2 linked regions of the Canis lupus familiaris genome follow. The protein of the gene in region 2 interacts with the protein of the main gene of each other region in a pairwise test. Links are inferred from orthologs where the notes say so. Each region holds a gene or a part of one and is shown on either strand. Other genes may lie near its edges.

Region 1 (4,257 bases), on a different chromosome or scaffold from region 2:
GAGGTTGGCTTCTGTCAGTGGCAGGAGGGACGTCGCCACGGCCTTCGGGATAGGGACAAGAGGGTGGTCACGCCTCCTCCGCTAATATGAACACGCGTAAGTCTCCTCTCCTGCTGCTATAATGTCTCTCCTCGTCCATGGACACCATCCACTCTCCCCAAGGATGTCCTCCTCACTCCACCTCCCCCCATCCCATACCCCGGACTCACCTGGATGTCCTGGTCCTGCTTCATGTCCTCCGGTGGGTCCTGGGTGGAAACATCAGGGGCAGGAACTGCGGGTGCAGCTCAGACCTCTTTTTACCATTATTTGTTGGGGGTGAGGCTCCTGGACGAGGAGGGAGGCAGGGTCCTGGCCCCATATGAGTAGGGAGTCCCTAACTCAGGAAGGGCTGTCTGAGCAGGGCCTGCCTGTAGATGGCCAGGTACACGACCTCAGTTGTCCTCACAGTGGAGGGCACACCTATTATCCCCACCGCTCAGACAAAGAAACTGAGGCAGAGCTGGGAGAGGGGTGGCCGGAGATCACCCTGAATGAGAATGGCAGAAGAGGCCTGGATCCCCGCGCTCCCTCCCTGCTGGTAAATGCCACACACTTGGTGGCACTGTGAGGGGTCACCTCTTTGAGTCCATGCCGCTTTAGGCTAAGGGCTTGGGCTCTGGATTCAGACAGACACAGGTTCCCATCCGACTCCAGCACTTCCCGCTGCGAGGGCGGAGCCAAATCACTCCCCCTGCATCCCTAATGAGGGGCATCTCAGAGCGCAGCTATGGTTCTAGGTGGAAACGGCTTAAATGCCACCTGCTTGGCCTGCTTGGCGAGTGCCTTCAGGTTGGAATTGGAGGCAACACGCGGAAAGCCTGCTGCTGGGGAGTGCTCACTTTCCTATAATTTTTTACTTTTATTTTTAATTTGTTTATTATTATTTTTTAAAGGATTTTATTTATTTATTCATGAAAGACACAGAGAGAGAAAGGCAGAGACGTAGGCAGAGGGAGAAGCAGGCTCCAGGCAGGGAGCCCGATGTAGGATTCGATCCTGAGACCAAGGATCACGCCCTGAGCCAGGGGCAGGTGCTCAACCGCTGAGCCACCCAGGCGTCCCTCCTATAATTTTTTAAAGAATTATTTTCAGTAGGCTCCACACCTGATGTGGGGCTTGAACTCACGACCCTGAGATCAAGAGTAGCATGCTCCCCAGACTGAGCCAGCTAGGCGCCCCTCCTATTACCTTTATCATACCCTTTACACATGTAAATATAAATAACTCAATATGTACCTTATTATACTCTTCAGCAACTATGGGGGGGGCCTTATAGGAAGATGAAATGCACAGTGCACTGGCCACCAAAGTCATTTAAGGTGTAAAGTAGCCATGTTGCATTTGTGCCTCAAAGCCATTCATTCATCATATGGGCTCCCCTGCCCTCTCTCCTCCCCCATCTCATGTTTATCTTAGCCTGTCTTGCGTGTTCTTTTGCTCACTCTGTTCCCTCTTCCAGGAAGACTGTTTCCAACTCCCCCACCACCCAGGATCCCTTCTCCCCAGCATCAAAGCTGGCACCACCTCTTCCAGGAAGCCTTTCCCGACTGACCTCCAGGGGTCCTCTGTAATGACATCAGTCCTGATTCATTTCACCGCCCAATTTCACGATTCTCTCCCCCACTTAATACCACCAACATGTAATGAGTGCCGACAGTTTGCAGGCTCCCGGGTCAGACGCATGACTAAAAGGTGACTAAGTCAATGTGGATCATGAACTAGGAACTGGTGGTGCACAGATGGGGCTCATCATGGATACACCAGGTTCCTTCCGTTCCCGGTCCCCAGCTACCCCATCCTTGGAGGGCAAGAGGGGCAGTTTACCTGGGCATCCAGGTCATTACTCAGTTCCTGTCCATCTTTCTGCTTTACCCCTGGTGGCAAGAGTTAAGTGTAAGTAAAAGGTCCTTGAAGGATCTTCTGGGAGTTTCAGGGTCCCCAGAACCCCAATATAGACCCTCCCCAGAAGATGAGCGCGGCGCTTCTTCACACAGACCACACCTCCCTCGCGCGCTCCCCCCTCCTCTCCCCTACCAGGGCCGGGACCCCAGCCGGCTCACCGTACACGATGGAGCGCCCCACTCCGGTGTGGTCGCTGCCAAATTTCCTCATCAGAGTCCCCGCCTTCTTGGAGGATACCTTCCCATGAAACTTCTCCCGGAGGCGCCGGACGCTTTTCTCCAGCTGGGGTGGGCACAGGGGGGTTCCGATCGGGGAAGGAGAGGGGCGACTTGCCCTCCTCCATCTCTAGGCATCCTTCTCCCCGCCCGAACTTGACCCTTGCTTTTGGCCTCCCCCACCATCCCTCTACGGCATTTCCTGGGAGAAGCCAAAGTCCCCACCGGGCATTGGGGGAGGGAGCGGAGTGGGGCGAGCGCCCCCGGCTAGGGGAGGAGGCCGGCCAGGTAACCTGGCCTCTGACCCTTGACCCTGCAGCCCCCCTTTTCCTCGAGGAGGCCGCATCTCACTCTGGGGGGCCGGGGCGGTCATTATCCTTTCCGAGGGGGGGCGAGTGCCCGCCAGGGGTAAGGTCTGGGCTTCGGATGGAGTCCCCAGAACTGCGAAGCCCCCTCGGCGCCCCCGGCGCCTCTCGGGGGCCCCCGGCCCAGGCGCAGGCATCTCCTACCTCCACACCTTCTTGAGACATGGTGGCGGCGGCGGCGGCGCGGGTTCCGCGAGGGGCCGCACTGCGCGCTCGGAGCCCCCCTACCTGGGCGCGCCCGGGTCCAGCAGCCGCGCAGGGCAGGGGGCGGGGCCTCCGGGCGGCTCCGCCCTTCCTTCTCGGCCCCCTCTTTCGCTTTCGATTGCTGGGGGTGACGGCGTGGACGGGGCGCTCTGGCTCCGCCCCGGCTCCGCCTCTGCCCTCGCGCCCCAGGCCCCGCGGGCGCCGGGGGTCTGCACCCTGCGGCGGAGCGCGCGGGCCTCGGGCGGTGGAGGCGGCGCGGCCTCTGCAGTCGGTCACATGTCCCCACGCTGCGCGGGGTCCGCGTCTTCACGTCCCTCGTGGGGGCGGGGCCGCATCGCAAGGCCGCCGCGAATCTCCGGGCCCCCCCCAGCTCGCGCTTCCCCACTTCATCGCTCTCGCAGCTCCCCTCCCTCGGGACCTGGGGCCCCTCCTCGCTCTGAGGCTCTTCCGCGGCTACGTCCGGACCTGTCTGCACCTCAGTTTACTCCTCTGTAAAATGGGGATGATAACAGCGGCTACATCGTGGCTGGGTGTGATTGCCAGGATTCGAGACCCGGGGTGGAGCGCTTAGTAGCACCTGGCATGGGGTAGCCTAACGAGTCACTAAGCCGCCTACTGTGTGCCACAGCTGGAGGTAGTTGGGCGAAGGAGGAGATGCTTGTTGGATAAATAGAGGTCACTGGTGCCTAGCAGTCCAGCAACAGCCTGTAGTCCAGGGGTGCCTGGGAATCTGCACTGTAAATCGGAAGGTTGAGAATCCTCTGGGCCAGCACAATTTTTTTTTTCCCCTGAAATAGGCTCCACACCCAAGGTGGGGCTTGAACTCGTGACCCTGAGATCAAGAGTCACATGCTCCACCCACTGAACCAGCCAGAGGCCCCTATTACATAAAGCTATTCTTTAACACACACGCACACACACACACCAAAAGAAACGGAGATGAAAAAGTATAGATGTTCTAATGTTTTCTACTTGACCTCCAAAGCTTTGTTTGTGGGTCTGTGTGCCCCGTCTGGAGCCTATTAATGAGTGTAAACAGTTCATGGTTCTTTGTGACTGAATGTGGAATTTCAGGCTGAGAGCCAGGCCTGTAGCTGCATAGAGGACCTGGGATTTTATACTGAGGGAGGTGGGGAGGTGTGGAGGGGCTCTCTTGTTATACACGTATCTGTGATATATAGTACATAATCTCCACTTACCAGTGAGGAGAAGGAGGTCGCAGCCAGGGTGGGTGACAAGCAGGGAGGAAACAGGTGGGAAACTGATCCAGCTCCGACATGAACCAGATCTGCTAGATTCTTTCTTTCTTTCTTTCTTTCTTTCTTTCTTTCTTTCTTTCTTTCTTTCTTTCTTTCTTTCTTTCTTTCTTTCTTTCTTTCTTTCTTTCTTTCTTTTCTTTCTTTCTTTCTTCTTTCTTTTTTTCTTTTTTTTCTTTTTTAGAGAGAGGCAGTGAGCCTTTGAACAGGGGGAGAGGGGAGAGGGTGAGGGAGAGAGAGAATCTTAAGCAGGTTCCACACCCAGTGTGAGCC
Region 2 (3,813 bases):
GACAAGCACCAAACTGTTAAGTGTCATGGATAGGAAACAGAAACCTGAATATTCTACTTCATATACTTCCTAATTGATACTTTATATTTAACATCTATTATTTTGAAAATAAGTTAAAAATAAATTAGCAACCTAGGAGTATACAAATATCTTGGAATAATAAGTGACAAGTTCATATTTATACCTATCACAATTAACAAATCTTAATTTCTAGATTGGTAAGAGACTTGCTTCACTTTATTCAAATACATACTGTACTCAGAAGAGATGGAGATACGTAGTGTCCTCTTTTCAGAGAGAGATTCACTCTGAGGACAAAGTATTTCTCGATGAGGTTCAAACCTCACCTCTAAAAGTAGACAGAAGCTTGATTATCAAACCACCCACCCAACTGAGCTCAAGTGCTTCAGGGTCTGAGCCCCTAACGTAGCGTTCCAAGTGACTGACACTAAGAGCGGAGTGTCACAACTCACTGGGCATGCACTGCGGTAGTAAGTTACCTTGGTTATCAAGTTTTTCTACATGACTTTTCAAAATTCTCCATTGTTTCCTGATGCTGTTGGTCAGCTGCTCTCTCACAGTCTCACAGGAAAGGTCCCACATACTCTCTCTACTCAGTTCCCCAGCATCTTCTTCAGCATCAGAGATAACCTACAAGCAAGAGAGATGAAAAGGAAAGACCAGTATCTTCAAATGGCTCTAGATACTCAGGCAGTACTAATCAAACCGATTATCAGAGATACCAAAATCATTTGTGCCATATCGTATGCATATATAACTGAAGACAAACTCTGCAACTCAAGTCTCTTCAAATATGAATTTGAATCCAAATATGATAGTGAAGAGTCCTGGAGCTGTGTGGGGAAGAGTTATTTGCTATTGCCCAGTGCTGTGTTAGAGCTCTCACAGGCTAACTCATCCTCAAATGTGGGAAAAGTGATGCTTCGAGAAGTAGACACACTGCCCCCTATCATGCACCCAAGAGGCAGAGCTGAGATCTGGAGTTAGATCAATTTATCTCCAATCTGAGGCTGCTTAAATAAATAAACCACTGAGGTTATCTACAAAGTAAAAGGAACTGTGAATCCTATTTTTCTCATATAATTTTGAAAAATAAAACTAGAGATTATTTTTCTTTTCACTTAAAACATGGGAAAATACTGTAAACCACTGATATAGGATCACCTAGAATCAAAACAAGATAAAGAACACAGGGAAACAGTACTAAAATACATTATGTCAAAATAATCTGTAGCTACATAAATATTATTATATTATCTTATATATATAAATATATATATTTCATATATATATGCAGATATATCTGCATATATATCTGCATGTATATCACATATACACACACACACACACACATATATGATATCTGCATAATCTGCAAAGTCCTAAATTTGTTGTTAACATCCAGGAGAGTAGACAGAGATATATTTCCCTGACATGAAAATAAAATATCATGCATGGAAAGAAAAGGAGAAAGGTCAAAGATGAAGGAATGCTGATCAGACCGTTCCCATGGGCAGGTGCAGCAGGAATGAGAGGGGGACTCGGCTGGGAGAGCTGTATCACTGGCCCGGGTGAGCAATGGCTGCCAGAGTTCTTCTGGTGTGGGGGGTGGGAGTGGGGGGCAGGCTGGAGAAAGGCCCAGCACAGAGCTCACTGTGACTCTGGTTCTTGCCAGAAAATCCTCTGGAGCTACTTGCCAATAATTCTTCCAAGGAGCTACACCTCCTACGTGTTAAAGCATACCAGAGCACTGTAAAGATACTCTGAAACCACAACATGAAAATAAAAATTTAACTTGAATTTTTGGTATATGTTTGGCTATAATTAAACACAATGATAAATTAACGAAACCTGAAGGCTACATAAGCATTTTAAGGTTATATCTGATTCCTCCTACTATAAAGCTCCAAAAATCCTTAAAAGGAAGGATTGGATTACATCCTAAGAGGAAAAAAGATCTAGAAAAACAGGTACTTTAAAAACAAAAAATATACTGAAGCGATTATTGTTTCTCCACATGTAAAATCTGAATTATTAAGAATTATACAGGATACTATCGACTGGCTGTAGTGGCGAGGAGAGGGGGAATTTAAACATCTGAGAAAGGTAATCTTTTTTTTTTTAAGATTTTATTTATTTATGAAACACACAGAGAGAGGCAGAAACACAGGCAGAGGGAGAAGCAGGCTCCATGCACGGAGTCCGACATGGGACTTGATCCCGGGTCTCCAGGATCAGGCCCTGGACTGAAGTCGGCGCTAAACCACTGAGCCACCCGGGCTGCCCGAGAAAGGTCTTCTTGATCTACACTATACTACTTGCTTTTGCTAAACAAAAGCAGGTAATGATGGTAAAGGTTGGGCCAAAAACTGAAGGAACCGCAGGAATAACAGACACTGTGCTTGGCCTTGGAGATATATTTGTGCAAGTTCACAACGAACAAAAAGTGACAGACTATGAGAAAAGGCTGAAGTCAAGCAGATCCCAAACTGGACAGTTTAAAAGAACATTAAGGTACATTTCTTTCTTTTTTTTAAAAAAAAAAAAAAAAGGAAAAAGAGATAGAAGGTGGGGTAGGCTTATCAGTTAGACTGATCTGTGATACAAGGTAAATAATTCCATAATACAGGTTTAAAAAACAAGTTCTGATAACTTGCTGATAATTAGCATTTCCCATCAATGTTATTTTCAGATTTTAGTCACTTGGCTGAATCCAGAATCTAAACATGTAAAGCAGTAAAGTTAACAGAAGTTTTCACCATTACATGACTTGCTTTTTTCAGACCTCTGCACGGATTATTCCCTCTGTCACATGCTCCTAACCCCAGGAACAACTACCTATTCTCAAGAGCCAACTCAAATGTCATGTTCTCTGTGATGCCTTCCCTGATTGCCACACCTACTTTGCTCAACACCTTGTACCACCCCTATTATAGCTTTTAACATGTGTAACAATCACTTTTCCACATGCCCCATCTCCCCAAAGAGCTTCCTGAAGGATGCAATGGACTGAACGTTCATGTTCCCTCAAATTCACAGTGAAATGCTAATGCCTGAGGTGCGGGTAGTCAGAGGTGGGGCCTGTGGAAGTGATGAAGTCATGACAAGTAGAGCCCTCGTGAATGGGGTGAGTGCCTTGGTTGAGCTCTTCTCCCCTGTTATGTGAGGGTGAGGGGACAAGGAGTCAGCAGTGTGCAGTCAGGAAGACGTACTCTCACCAGATATTGACCCTACTGGCCCCCAGATTTTGAGCCTTCCAGCTCCAGAATTGTAAAAAATAAATTTCTGTTGTTCTTAATCACCCAGGCTGTGGTAGTTTGTTATAAGAGCCCCAATTGAGACAAAGAAAGAAGTCAAAATCCTTTTAGCTTTTTCTTTCCAGGGAGCAGAATGTAAGGGACATTCAGCAAATTTCTGGAAAGATTAGTAGGTTCCCAAAGTTAATGCTTCACTCTGAAAAGTAAAGCCGGCTCAAGTACAGAATACCTAAACTATTAAGAGGATACTCAGCACAATGGTTAGAAACATGAACTCTGGGGTGAGACAGACTTGGATTTAAATCCTAGTTCTGTCACGTGTGATACTGGGACTCATTAGACGAGTGTGCCCCAGTTTCCTCAGCTATAAAATGGGGATAATTATGACAGGAAAAGCATCAAATTAGAAGAGTGAAATGAGGCAATGCTCACAAAGTGTTTATCACAGTGTTTGGCACTAAGTCCTTCTAAAGTCATCTCCATCATTTCCCAAGTTCTAGAAACAAACAGGGACATTTTGTTGTCGTCGTCCCAG

The links.
Region 1: the proteins of SSX2IP (region 2) and SHFL interact in binary tests that used the Homo sapiens proteins (3 or more experiments, as listed by UniProt). The two-hybrid records come from large-scale screens. The link is inferred for Canis lupus familiaris from reciprocal best matches to the Homo sapiens genes SSX2IP and SHFL.

The regions. Positions count from the first base shown.
Region 1 is NC_049241.1:51,360,889-51,365,145, forward strand, and holds the start of SHFL (shiftless antiviral inhibitor of ribosomal frameshifting protein), read right to left. Parts: upstream 2,820-4,257; 5' UTR 2,690-2,819; coding exon 2,669-2,689; intron 2,227-2,668; coding exon 2,103-2,226; intron 1,917-2,102; coding exon 1,867-1,916; intron 249-1,866; coding exon 210-248; intron 43-209; coding exon 1-42.
Region 2 is NC_049227.1:63,794,137-63,797,949, reverse strand, and holds part of SSX2IP (afadin- and alpha-actinin-binding protein), read right to left. Parts: intron 652-3,813; coding exon 501-651; intron 1-500. UniProt on the Homo sapiens protein: Belongs to an adhesion system, which plays a role in the organization of homotypic, interneuronal and heterotypic cell-cell adherens junctions (AJs).